2 linked regions of the Astyanax mexicanus genome follow. Each later gene encodes a partner of the first gene's protein in a complex. Links are inferred from orthologs where the notes say so. Each region holds a gene or a part of one and is shown on either strand. Other genes may lie near its edges.

Evidence for each region.
Region 2: polr1h (region 1) and polr2l share a complex: the UniProt entries of both Homo sapiens proteins name them as parts of the pol I pre-initiation complex. The link is inferred for Astyanax mexicanus from reciprocal best matches to the Homo sapiens genes POLR1H and POLR2L.

Annotation. Positions count from the first base shown.
Region 1 is NC_064410.1:37,556,958-37,564,265, reverse strand, and holds polr1h (DNA-directed RNA polymerase I subunit RPA12), read left to right. Parts: upstream 1-4,218; 5' UTR 4,219-4,352; intron 4,353-4,911; exon of another isoform or gene 4,912-5,035; intron 5,036-5,582; 5' UTR 5,583-5,586; coding exon 5,587-5,704; intron 5,705-6,311; coding exon 6,312-6,415; intron 6,416-6,562; coding exon 6,563-6,672; intron 6,673-6,952; coding exon 6,953-6,977; 3' UTR 6,978-7,163; downstream 7,164-7,308. Other genes in the region: ddx39b (DEAD (Asp-Glu-Ala-Asp) box polypeptide 39B), read right to left, coding at 1,254-1,488. UniProt on the Homo sapiens protein: Core component of RNA polymerase I (Pol I), a DNA-dependent RNA polymerase which synthesizes ribosomal RNA precursors using the four ribonucleoside triphosphates as substrates. Can mediate Pol I proofreading of the nascent RNA transcript.
Region 2 is NC_064423.1:9,009,277-9,016,540, forward strand, and holds the start of polr2l (DNA-directed RNA polymerases I, II, and III subunit RPABC5), read right to left. Parts: upstream 3,102-7,264; 5' UTR 2,997-3,101; intron 1,812-2,996; 5' UTR 1,790-1,811; coding exon 1,695-1,789; intron 1-1,694. UniProt on the Homo sapiens protein: DNA-dependent RNA polymerase catalyzes the transcription of DNA into RNA using the four ribonucleoside triphosphates as substrates.

The DNA.
Region 1 (7,308 bases):
AAAGTCACAACACAAATTAAATAACAGTATTATGATTGACAATATGATTAAAAATATAACATCACAATATAGCGACTGCCGAAAAGCAATGTCTCTCAAATGTAAAGCCACCACAGGTCTAGCACCTCTGCTGGCTGGTTGCAGTATGAAGTGTAGCTCTAACTGTCTATGAACATCTTTAAACGTGACGTTTAATCACTGGTGTGTGCTGATAGACTCTCTCGCAGCAGCTCATGGTTTTTAACTCAAACATAGTAACTTCAGTTTACATGAAACGGCAAATCAAACTGAGCTGAGCATATTCTTTATCACAATGTCAAAATTGTTCATGATATACAGCTCTGAAAAAATTTAAATGACCACTTTAATTTCTGAATCAGTTTCTCTGATTTTGCTATTTATAGGTATAGGTATGTTTGAGTCAGATGAAAATTGTTGTTTTATTCTATAAACTATGGACAACATTTCTCTCAAATTCCAAATCTAAATATTATTTTATGTAATTTAGAGTATTTATCTGCAATTAAATGAGAAATGGCTGAAATAACAAAGACGATGCAGAGCTTTCAGACCTCAAATAATGCAAAGAAAACAAGTTTCAGAAATCAATATTTCGTGGAATCATCTGGTTTTTAATCACAGTTTTCATGCATCTTGGCATGTTCTTCTCCACCAGTCTTACATGCTGCTTTTGGATAACTTTATGCCACTCCTGATGCAAAAATCAAAGCAGTTCAGCTTGGTTTGATGGCTTGTGAGCATCTATTTCCCTCTTGATTATATTCCAGAGGTTTACATTTTTTAAGTGGTCTCTTATTTTTTTCCAGAGCTGTATAATAAAACACTGTCATACTGCCCACCTTTAAAATATTACTATAATAGTAGGGTAGTAGTAATAAATATGTATGTAAAATATATCACCATATTTCATCTTAAATTGAAAAGAGCACAATTAATCTTTAGTTGAAATAAGTGCATCACAGTAAACATAACTAAATATAGTACAGTGCAAAACATGCCAGTCTATCTTTCTCTGCCGTATTGCCTGAGAGTCTTAATTAGGTAACACTGTGTGCTAGAGAAAACCATCTGGACAGATGCACAGCTGTAAACAAACTCTTCAGTACGTCACTATTTCCCTCAAGACCAGTCTGCCTTGCTTGTGTTTTGTTGTTTCTTTGGACTTGAATTTGCACAGCAGGTGGAATTCTACTCTTCTCACTTTGGCTAAAGATTTCCTTCATTCTGCTCACCTTCAGACGGATGCTCAAAGCCACAGTCCACTATGGCCCTCAGAAGCTCAGGCTTCAGAAGAAAGTCCCTGAACCCTGAGGAGTGGATGGACACATAAGAGCCTTTGACCCCCTCCTTTCTTATGGTCATGGCACCACTGTCACCGGCAAGCGTTCCATCCCCGACGCCACCTGCTGCATCTACTTCATCCTCCTCATAGTCTAACAGCTCGTTCTCCACGTCGTTCTCAGTCATTCTGAAAAAGGGGAAAACACTAATTAAACATTTAGCCTGTAGATCATTACCCTGAGAGCAAAGAACGGTATACGGATATATGAATAGAATACAAACATAATATACATATTTAATTTAAGTCAAGTTTAATACAAACAATAAATATAAAATCATAATTTTGAATCAATGTTTGAATCAAAGTTTACACATAAATAAATTCTGGCAATCAACATTGTTTCAACATATGTAAATGTTGATTCGGGAGCTGAGTGGTACAGCAAGCTAAGTGCTGCAACTATGATCAGGAGATTGCTGGTTTGAATCCAGGACATGCAGCTTGCCATCTGCTGCCAGAGCCCCGAGAGAGCACAACTGGCTTTGCACTCTCTAGGTGGGTAGATGGCGCTCTTTTCCCCTGATCACAGAGACTGACATGACTTTATTCCTTTCAGCAATATTTGCTGCACTCTAAAAAACTATAAACTATCTACCTCAGTAACTGCTGTGATTATATATGTTCTATATGTTACAGTATGTTACACATCTCTGCACCTTATCCTCACTAAACACTCTATTATACCGTATCGGTACTGCACTGTCCTGTCTTTAAATTGTCTCGTCTTTTGTATTTATTGTATTTATTATTATTTAGTGTTATAATTTTATCTGTCGTCACTCCTGCACTTTATGTTGTCTATTGCTTGTTGTTCTATGTTGCACCATGGTTCCGGAGGAACGTAATTTTATTAAACTGTGTACCTGTACTCAGATGTAATGACAATAAAAGCCTTGACTTGACTTGACTTGACTTGATCAGCACAAGGCACCTGTGAGCTGATGTATCAGAATCAAATTGCTGCGCTTATGCTCTGATAAAATACTGACTGATACTATATTAGGATACTGATATATAGCTGCTCAAAAAGGCACGAACAGTAAAACTGATGTAAGTAAACATCTGCACTGCAAAATCTAAACATGAAGGGAAGTCATACAATATTATATTGCCCAAGCAATAAGAAGATTTTGTAAAGAAACATTATTCTGTAAGTATCAACATAACTGTGTTCAAATTGTTAAATATAAATATTATTTTATGATACACAAAATGAGTATTTCTCGAATTGTATTATGATTAGGCATTTAAATGTGTTGATATTTACTTAATTAAAGGATCAATATTTGCAGATATCATATTCTTTATTACAGTTTAAGACAAGCCTAATATGCACATATTCCTTAAAAGCTATTTTGCCATCAATTTGTAGCTTTTACAGTAAAGTATTGACATTTTAGAGACTCTGTATTGTATGCTAAGATACTAAGGTTCTGTTTAACCTGTATTAACTATTTAGTAGGGATGCTAGGGGTGGGCAATATTATATCGTATACAATATATCGTGACACAGAAATATCGTGATATTAAAAAATCCATATCGTGATAATAGGGCTGTTCTGTCTTAAAAGTAGTCTATTATTTACTGTGAAGCTTTAGGTGTATTTATTGTATAATTGTTTTAGTTTGCAGTTTATATGCATGCACTAAATATTCTGCAATATTTTTGCTGCATTATATTATTTTATGCTATATTATTTATTTTGCCACATTATGATTATGCTGTTATACTCTTATACTATATTCCTGAAATTAATTAATTATTTTAGTTTTCCTACATCGCCAAGTATATAGTTACCGCAAAACTACCCTGAAATATCGTGATATTATTTTATAGACATATTGCCCACCCCTAAGTGATGCACAATGATATCGGCCAATACTATTATTTTTTTAGAATATTCAGCAATGATATGGAAATATGGCTATTATTTTAAACCAATACTTACTTACATATTTATTGTATTCCAGAATTTTTTATTATAAATGTGTATATCGGATATAGACATCGGCCCAGAATTTTCACATCGCTTCGTCCCTACTATTTAGAAAGATAAAAAAGAAGATCATATGATTAATTATCTGTAAATTAGATTTAGTAAATATTTGGTAAAATCTCAATTGCTAATGTCATCACTAGTCACAATCCCAAACCAAATAAAAAAAAATATAAAATTTTTACATAAAAATATAAAAAAACATCTGAAACTGAATATAAATTAGTTAATATTATTTTTTTATAGCTTCTCCAAGTGTCCTGTATGAGACTTTAAAGCCCTCAAATTTTCAGAATGTAATTAAGTTATTTTACTGCAGAAAAAAGGGTTTTGTATCACCTGCACCTGTAGCTCGTATACGGGAGAAGGCATTAGGCACATATGGCAACAACCAACGTGTTTTGCTATTTAAAAAAGCAGTAATAATATTGTACCATAGCAATTTTATATGAAAATATAATCAATACATATATAATCAATACTGCACAGCCTTGATGGGCAACATTAAATATAATACCCACAGCTGACGGATATGACCATATTAATTATAAAAATGATTGTAATGAATGGATGAAGTTTGCAGGTTTCAGTATATCAGCTGCACAGGGCTGCTGTGTATATATCTGCAGCAGCATGTGTTTACAGAGCAGCTCACACGCGCTGCTGCACTACAGACTGGTGCACAGAACAACACAGCCAGCGCTGCATGTGTTTAACCGCATTTTATCAGATATAAACCCTCATTTACCTGGATTAACTGTGAGACACTCCGCGGTGTGTTTTTATTTCACCTGCTCGCTGCTGCTGCTCCCCTGCACGTCATTTGCTCTGAGACGAAGGGCCTCCCTCCCACCAGCAGCTAGAGCTGTCCTCCGCTCCGCCTGAGCTCAGCTCCGCAGGCCGGCTTCTGCTCTCAGGGATCTGTCGCTCAACTCCTCCGCTTTCCAGCTCGGCTTTAGCGACACTACTGGATTTAAGAGCTTGTTTAGACGGTAAGTTAAGTGGGTGGAAACCGCAGAATGTCGGGTTTAGTTGTGTTGGTAAACACGTGTTTAGGTGTAGTTGATAGCTAAAGTTGGCTTCTTAAGCGAAATATTCGTTCCACCTTAAATCGTGCTGTATTTACACGGGCAGCCGTTGAGGCACGAGACTATAACTGCTGAGTCTTTTAAGGTGGAACTGAAGTTTTCGTCTTGTCGTGGTTAGCATGGGTGCTAACTTCTTTTCTTCTCAACTTGGATTAATTACTTTAGTTAGCATAAGTCACACATTTGGATCACTTGTGTGTTTTAAAATTGTTTTATTATCTACATTTTCATTCTTTTTTTCTTTTTCTTCTTTTCTTTTTACAATAAACCAATGATAATACAAGTTATTAAAATTTAACTGGAACTTTCCTTCCACGTAAAAAAAAATCCAGCTGTTGCATACAGTTGTCATATAGTTTGCTATATTAAAGGTTTCATGCCATCGTTTTTTCATTTATTTTATTTTATTTCTGGTTGTGGTCTTCAGTATGAATAAAAAAAATAAAAAAATCTGTTGTTTTAGTATTTAGCGGCTTTAGTCCGGTGGAGGAGTGGGAGGGAGAAACATGTGTTGTTACTCTAGTCTCAGAGTTTCTGTAAAACACAAAATCCACTGGAGATCCTATGTAAACTATAGTTACACAGAGGTGGGTAACGTTAGTCCAGTTCCAGAAAGTAAAAATCCATTTTTTAAATGTTTAACTAGTGTAAACAGAACTGTTTTTAAACATACACTGACCTATCTCAGTTGGACTTCGCTGGAGGTGTACCATAGACAGATTTTAACCATTTTTCCTTATGTCTGTATACTTCCGGAGTTTACTATAGCAAGTAATTGTAACGTTATAGTGTTTATGGTTCAAGAAAACATATAGTCACAATAATGCATGAATTAATATCCTGTTATGCCTCATCGCATATGCTCAAAGTAATTGTAAGTGGATAAAATGTATATACAGAATGTAGAAATGTATATAGTGTTATAGTCACAAATGTGTGTTTACAGCTAATTAGTTAAATATGGTTTTATGTAAAGTTACTTACTGGTACATAAGTTTGTGTGTATTTGTTTTAGTAATGCTGATGTGAACATATTAATAATTATCATGAAGTAGGATTGTCATGTATAACTTTACAAATTAGTATTTTAATTTAATGTTTGATGATGTGCATTTATTTCCACTCTTGATGTAGGACCATGTCTTGCTTCCAAGGAGATATAAACTTCTGTCCTGAATGTGGTAATATTCTACCAGTCCCTGGAATTCAGAATACCATTACATGTCCTCGGTGCTCATTCGACATTCCTGCCAGTGGTGAGATTTCATTTTGGCCTAAAGATATTTAGATATACTTAGTGGCCACTATTAGAAAAACCTTCATGTTGGGGGAAACCGGCCAGCATGGCCAGCTTAAATCAGCTTGTTGATCAGCATATAGTATGTTTTGTTTGATGTTTCAGCTGGTCAACAAACATGATCAACCTGGCCAACCTTACCAGTATGTTTTTGACTAGATAACTGGCTTGTCAACAATTTTGATCATCAAATATCAGCATAGATCATCTAAAGCCAGACACCAGTAAAAGCTGGTCTGCAACTGGATTTTTGATCAAGCTGATTTGACGTTCCACCTTGCTGGTGTACAATAAAAGACCATAGCCCATCTGTTGATGGACTGTTCTTGTTATTTTGTAGTGGCAGAGCTACTACCTAGCAGTGGCATTAATTTGAACATGTCATCACCATCCAGATCCAATTAACGTCTGCTCAGAGTTATGTGGTAGGTGTACCCTCATAGCGTGTTTGGAGAAAGAATGGACAAGGAAGGAGTTTGTAATTAAGTAGACAATCTGAGAAATATACAGGGGGATTTTTACCTACAGCCAGGACAATGTTTAAGTCAACTTTTTTTTCTCCTCAGGTTTTGCTGGGCAGGTTATCAAGTCATCTGTAGTATTTAATCCGTTGGTGCAGAGTTCTACTACTGTGGAGAGTGAGGAGGATTCTGAACTAAAAGGCCCTGTGGTAAGTTGCCTAAATTTAACACTAAAAAATTTTGTTAAATAATCTTTGCCCTGCAACAGTTGTTTAAAGAGTGAACAGTGGACAAAAAACATTAGGGAATGTGAGCATTTATAATTGTTATCTTCTTCTATGCAAATTCTTCACCAGGTGGACAGAAGGTGTTCACGCTGCAATAAAGAAGGAATGGTATACCACACAAGGCAAATGAGATCAGCAGATGAAGGCCAAACGGTGTTTTTCACGTGTATTCACTGCAGGTAATGTCAGAGTGACTCCATTAATAACTCATACTGCTAAATGCATTGATTTCTCTGAGGTGCAGGGGTGCTCTGAACAGAGTAAGGTTTATATTGATTCTTTTTCCACAAATCAAGGCAGAGTGAAAATGAGAGAGGCAAGAACATCTGTGTTTAAGTTTCAATTTGTCATTCCACTTACATGAACAAGACAACATACAGTTTTTCTGCCACAATCTATAAGAAATCACAGAAATCTACAGAAGCTAATTTCTTTTTTATTTCAATGTTTACATTACAGGCACCAAGAGAAGGAAGATTCATGAGATGTTTGGTGTTGTCCGACTTGTATTTGATCATTGATCAACAACGTGAATCCAATATTGTGTCTGCACAAGATGTAATGGAAAAAGACGCCACAAGGACTTGGACATTTTTGCTGTACATTCAAAATGTTTTGTATCAAAAAGAAATGAATAAAAAATGTAATATAAAAAATGTGAGAAGCACAAGCATATGTCTTTCTTTTTACCTTGTTATTTCTGTCTATATCTGCAGTAGACATTTGTAGTAATAGCAGTCTTGTGTTCAGTGTTTTGATTTTAAGTTAGAATAAGTATGAGGGCAAGTTAAATATCAAAGAAAGCAGCAGAATCC
Region 2 (7,264 bases), on another chromosome or scaffold:
CAGAACTGAACTCCCACCCCACCCACCACTCACCCAACACACTTGCACAAAACTAAACTGTACACCCCTCCCCCTTTACACTCACAAAGAACTGAACTTCACCCACACACACACCCAGTCAGCACACAGAGGCTGACATGACTTTATTTGCTGCACTCTTAAAAACTATAAACTCTACCTCAGTAACTGCTGTGATTATATATGTTCTATATGTTACAGTATGTCACACATCTCCGCACCTTATCCCCACTATACACTTATTATACCGTATCGGTACTGCACTGTCCTGTCTTTAAATTGTCTTGTCCTTTGTATTTATTGTATTTATTGTTATTTAGTGTTATAATTTTATAATTTTATGTTGCACTGTCGTCACTCCTGCACTTTATGTTGTCTATTGCTTGTTGTTCTATGTTGCACCATGGTTCCGGAGGAACATAATTTCATCACACTGTGTACCTGTACTCAGATATAATGACAATAAGAGCCTCTTGACTTGAAAAAAAAAAAACTATTAAAGAACTGCAGGTCTCATTTACCTCAGTTAAGGTCAGTGTTAATGATTCAATAATAAAAAGGAGACTGGATGAAAATGGTCTCCAATTTCCAAGGCAATAAACACTGCTGACCATAAAGAATACAATGGCCCATCTTCCATTTGCCAAAAAACATCTTAAATGATTGCCAGGACAAAATGTGGAACTTTTTGGAAAGTGTGTGTCCCAATAAATTGGTGTAAAACTAACACATAATTTCTGAAAAAGTACATCATACTGAACGTAAAACATGGTGGTGGTAATGTGAGGATCTAGACAACTTGCTGTAATAGATGGAACCAGGAATTCTGCTGTTTACCAGACAATCCTGAAGGACACTGTCCAGCCATCTGTTTGTGACCTCAAGCTCAGGCGTACTTGGATTCTGCAGCAGGACAATGATCCAAAACACACAATTAAATCCACCTCTGAATGGCTTCACAAAAAAAACAATGGTTTTGAGTTAACCTAGTCAAAGTTCGTTTAGAGGCTGGTGGATGATCTTAAACAGGCCGTTCATGCTGGAAAAACTCTACATTGTGTCTAAATTACAACAATTCTGTAAAGAAGAGTGGATCAAAATGCCTCCACAGAGATGTGAAAGACTCGTTGCCAGTTATCAGTAAAGCTTGACTGCAGTTGTTGCCGCCAAGAGTGGAACAACCAAGTTATTAGGTTTAGGGGTAAACACTTTTTCACACAGGGCTAGATTGGTTTATATAGTTTTTACCTTTATTAAATAAAATTATCCTTACTTACTTTTACTTATCTTTGTCTGATATTAAAGTTTGTTTGATAATCAGAAAAATCACACTATGACCAAAAAAGCAAAAACAAAAAAAAATCTGTAGGGGGGCAAAATACTTTTTCACGCCACTGTACAGAACTATTATTAAACAGTTACCCATCCTAAATGGGTTTGGTGTAAGACGGTGAGTTTTAGAGAACCTCTGCAGTTACATTTTGTTCACAGTGGTGGTAAAAGATCCACCTCCCCAGACACTGTTACACATGTTCTGGGGAAAAGTCTAAAAAAACTTATTTTAAACCTATTCATGGAGAAGAAATGCATGTAAGTAAATAGTTGCATATTAAATCCTGTGACGATATCGATGGTGTTATATTTCTCTAAAGCAGCTCATTCTACTCAACACTCACCCCTCTGTGTACTCTGCCTGAAGGAGACCTAAATAAGCCTCCCACTTGTTGCCCACAATCTTCCCGCAGGTGAAGCATCGCACTGGGATAATCATCCTGAAGAGATGCTTTGTTAATCTGGAATCAGAATTAAATCAAATTAATTTTAGTGTTTAAAGTACTGGAAGCCACAGGTGATATCTGTAAGGAACTGGATTACTTTGGGCTGTTGGTCTCCATATTTTATTTATACTTTGTCAATTCCTTCAACATGTTCTCTGAACTAAAACAAACAGAATACATTTCTAAATAGACCAATCTGTAAAGGTAAACAGTCATACTAACAAGATTAAGAAAAATGTAAGAAAAAAAAGAAAATGTAAGAAAGATGCAGCTATATAATCTATATCTACCTTTCATTCTGTATGGAAATCTAAAGCACTGTTCAAAGCAACTCAACTTCTAATACTCTTAATTTCTAACACTACTACACACACCATAGTTCACTGAAATTTGAATAATGGAACATTTTTAATACAGTGCTATAATTAAAATATAACAGATTTGAATAATCAGTAGAACTGGGTTTTGCATTTTTATTGCTAACTTGGTTTAATACACTAAAAGCATTTTCATTTGTGTTATATTATTAAATTAGAATTCTCTGTGAGACACTAATAATTATAATAACATGCTTCTCGTGTGTTTGGGCAAGGTGAAGAAATCTTTTTTTTTTTTAATTAAAAAGGCTTTTTCCATTTAGACACAGCATCTATTTACTATTTCTTTATACACTTAATTATAACATGTTCTAAATTCAGTAAATTAACAGTAGCTAAATGTGTATAAAAATATGTCTCTCTCTAGTGAAGGAGACTTATGATTTTGCGCTTAAAATTAAGTTACAGAGCATGACCAAGTTAATTAATTAAGAACAAGTTTATAAATAAAAAGCTAATTAAGGAATTAAAGAGTAACTTAATGAATAAGAGATTAAATTAATCAATAAAATAGGAAATTAATACATGAAAGAATAAACCAATAAATTAGAGGAAATTAATGAATAAAAGAGTAAATAAATGAATTAAAGAATACAGTCATGAATTAATGATAGTACCTACATAGTTAACTTAGTTATCTGTGTAAGTACGGTATGTAGATTAGTACACAATACTTTAACGGATTCCGCATTTTACCCCAGTCCACAGTAAATCTCGCCGGGCTAAACCCGCGGAGTGAACTGCGCTGCAACGGACTGTGTTTAATACTGAATATAATTATCAGTAAAATGTTACAAATATTATAATAATTATAAACACTCACCCGCACTTTAGCCACCACGCTCAACACTCGGTGTTCCTCAGAAATATATCCGGACTCAAACACAACACCGGAAACACAACGTTCCTCAGCACTCAAAACGATTTTCTATCAAAATAAAAGTCTTTTTTCAGTTTTGAGTCTCTAAATGAACTACTAACTAATAAACTAGTTTGAGAAAATATAGAGTTTATAACAAAATAAAAGCTTATTGAAACAGATAAACGCATTAATCAATGAGTGTAACAAAAGAAAACGTAAGAAACTGAACTAAAACTAGTGTAGCTGGAAAATATATTGTAACTCAGAACAAATAACTCTAATATCAGTGGAATTCATACATCTGTAATATCTACATTTTATTCTAGGCAAATTATGTATATATAAATAATGTAAAAATATAATCTGACCTTAAAACTGAGAATATGTTGATTTGTTGATGTAAATTGTGTATGAAACAGAAAAAGGTACAACACTTTAAAGCAAAGCAAAAGTTTTAACGATGATTTTTGTTCATCTGTTTGTATGAAATATGAGCGAATAACGTAAGAATCATTCCTAAATTAAAAATTGAATGATACTGAATGCAAACTCTTTATTCTTAATGCTGCAAAGCACTGTAAAATCATATAGCACACTGGCCCTAGACCACTGGCCCCCGTGTTGAAATGGTCTAGAACCGACACAGGATATAATATTCTTACTATATTGCTTTAGAGCTCTAGAGACATACTAACATTTTTAATAATAATGGATTCATTAGTATAAGTGCATCATTAATAATTTATTACTGAATGTGTTCTGCTGCTGTGAGCTACACTCAGATAATTCAAAACAGACAGATATATTCTAGTAATAGAATTAGTGTGTGATTTCTGTAGAACTGATTGTATAATTTTTGACTGACGTCAGATACTTGCGGTAAAAAGTAGATGAGGATTTAATTCTCAAGAGGGCAATACACAAAAATATAAACCATAAGAGAATGCTGGATAAACAGAGGCAATACACAAAAAAACAACACAATAAACAGTCTTACATACACATGGAAATTAACAGAAGACAACAGTTATAGAATTCTGCAGAGCATGAAAAAGAGATTTTTTCATTTGCTGGGAATTGTAGTTCTAGTGAAAAGCATGTCCCGAGATGGGAATAGAAAAGGCCAATCTAGGAACTATCAGGTGTGAAATATAGACAAAGAGAATTCTACTGATGTTACAAGATACACCAGTAAATGGGCTAGGTCCCAAAAATCGTCCCTATAGCGCTACATGTTATTGGACTGGTGGGTTTAAGTGCAGGATGCAGGGAGTAATTTGTGACGGGTCTGTAAACGCTGGCTTGTACACAGCATTGAGTGAGGAGCAGTGCTGCAAATGAACTAAATCAACAGAAAATGTATGGCCTTGCAACAAACATTATGTTCAGGACTTTTTTTTTTTACTTCATAATTATTAGTTACACAAAAAACAGTCTTATGCTTCAGCACATCATTCAGTGTTCAATTTAGTCAGGCAGCCTCTTCATAAACATTTACAAATGGTTTGTAAAGTTTATATATCTTTTATGAAAACTGGTATACCCAAAGAACACAGGAAAGAACATTTAGACCTTCACACACAGATTTGCAGACAGAGAAGAGTCCACATTTACTTTCATACAACTGAAATTATTAGTTCAGTTACTTTATCAGACTGTGTAAATGTCACTCTTAAACTGCCAACCAGCTCCTTAACTACAGTCTCTGCTTCTAAAACTAGTGCAGAACTTGGCACCAACAAAACTAGCATGTTTCAACTTTTTACCACTTAGCTATTTAACTAGAAAATCACTGGTAATGAAAGGGTTGTTGTGCATTTGGAATTACTAATTATTAGCAACATAATTATTTTTGAAACTCCAGCACACTGTGCATGCCTCTTATACCTATTGAAATATCACCATAATGACTTATCCAGCTTGATAGCTAGTTAACAATCTTACTTATCTAACAACCACCCTTCTCCACACACTAAACTAGCTAGCTAATTCACTAGGAAAGTGTTTTCACTAGCACACTAGCTAACTCGGTGTGTGGAAGAGGGTGGTGGTTGGATAAGTTAGCTAACCGACCTAGATTAGTAATTTATCCAACCACCTTCCACTTTCACACACTAAATTAACTCTGCTAATTTATCCACTAATCACCATATATATATAGAGATATATTTCTGCCTGTCTCTGCCATAGTATCAGTTTCCTAAAATCCCACAATGCACTGCGTTGTTCATGTCTGCTGACATCACGATTCTATTCTCTATTAGCACGCTAGCCAAATGGTTTAGCTAGCTAAGTAACCTAGGCTGGGTAAGGTAGTGTTAGCAAAATAATTTAACTAGTTAATTTATCCAGTCTTCAACCTCTTACACACAACAAATTAGCACGCTAGCCAAATGCTTTAGCTAGCTAGTTAACCTAGATTAGCTAGCATTAGCAAAGTAACTAGTTAATTTATCCAGCTGGGAGTGAGAACCTCTGCGAACTTCACTTATTTGGAAGCAAAAAGCTATACCAGTGACCTCTACCCTGTTATACTGACTAAAACATGCGTCAATAATCGACAATAGAACTCGTCTTGAAACAAACAAACAAAGAGTCAAAAGCCTGATATTATGTTCAACAGTGAATGCGCTAGGTAAGCTAGTTACCTAATTAGCATTAGCTATATGCAAACCATGCCCATGTACATATTTCCCCAATAATACAACATGTAGTGGATAACTAGCTTGTTTAAAGTAACTAACGCTTTAACCACGAACCTGCACACTGCTACTTTGTAAACTGCTAGATAGCGCTACAGTTTATTATTAGGGCTGAGCAGCTGAGCAGTAAATCTAGCTAGACTTAGCTAACTTTGCTTGAACAGAGGGGTTAGCACTGGCTACATGTGTTAATAATTAACCTGCTACAAGAGCCAGCCTGTGCCAGAAGGTGAAAATCATCGTTATACTCGAGCACACTGAGTACAGATCTTAATATAGAACTAATACTTACATACATCAACTTTTGAGCTCATACACAGAAACATGTTAACAAATCTTACCTTTAAAACAGCAGCTCAACTCCACAACAAGTGCACAGGGGACCGATAGTATCTGAGTATATGTTCTTATACATTTTTAAGTTTTAGTTGTTACTGTTTACAAATGAGTAAAATAGGTAGAATTTTCCCATTGTAATTTATTTTACTTTCTGACTAATACATTTGAGTATTTTTCAAACACTGTTGTGGGAAATCTTACGAAGAAACCTTGTTTACCTTGAAATATATTGACAAACACCTAACAATCATGATTACTTACCATCTGTGAAAACCTTGTATTTTATATGCATTAACCAATACTTACACCACATTTGATCATTTTATTATTCACATATTATTCACACATTTATACTAACACTATATTTGATCATTTTATCGCTCACAGTATATTTTTTACACATTTATATAGAAAACTAACCTCTAAACCACACATATAGTAAGACATTGTTTTTCACAAGCATGTGACTGACACAGACCTTAGTCTGACAAACTAACCCACATGATACATAACATAAGGGAGTTTTTGCTAACGTATGGGAACCTATTATATGGCTGACTAATCACGCGCCACTGACGCCTCACTGAACCACATTGTGTGATTGCATGTTTTCTAACTAACAGCTACAAAATCAGCAGATAGTGCATTCTGCATGGCCTTGCTTAAATACAAAAGACGTTTGACAAACAGTACAGTCTTTCTCTCTCTGTGCGCGTGAAGGCCTTCACCTGTCAAGTGAGGGAGGACATGTGCGCAGGGAGTGAAACACTGTCTAATTACTGAACAAAGCCGTGCTGTTTCTCCAAGGCCAAAACACCAGCAAATCTTGAGCCATCAGCGAATCTTCAGCCCTAACAACATAACACCATGCATGCTGACATAAGATAATTTCAGCAACGCCTCATCACCAGGTGTTCACGTCATTTTGGGTTTAAAACATGGGAGTCAGATGACGGGGGTTCAGAGCATATCGGGGAACGGTCAACGACCGCTCATTTGTGTTCTCCTGGTACCAGCTGTTATAATAAATACTTGTTTTGCTTTCAACTTTACTCCATCTGTCTGAGACTCTCTGTTCAGCGAACACGTAAGGGAGTTGTAGCCCCCAGGCGAGAGGTGGGTGCGGACCCACCTTTCAATTTTCATTTCTACAACAGATTGGTGACCCCGACTTCTGACGACGAGTCT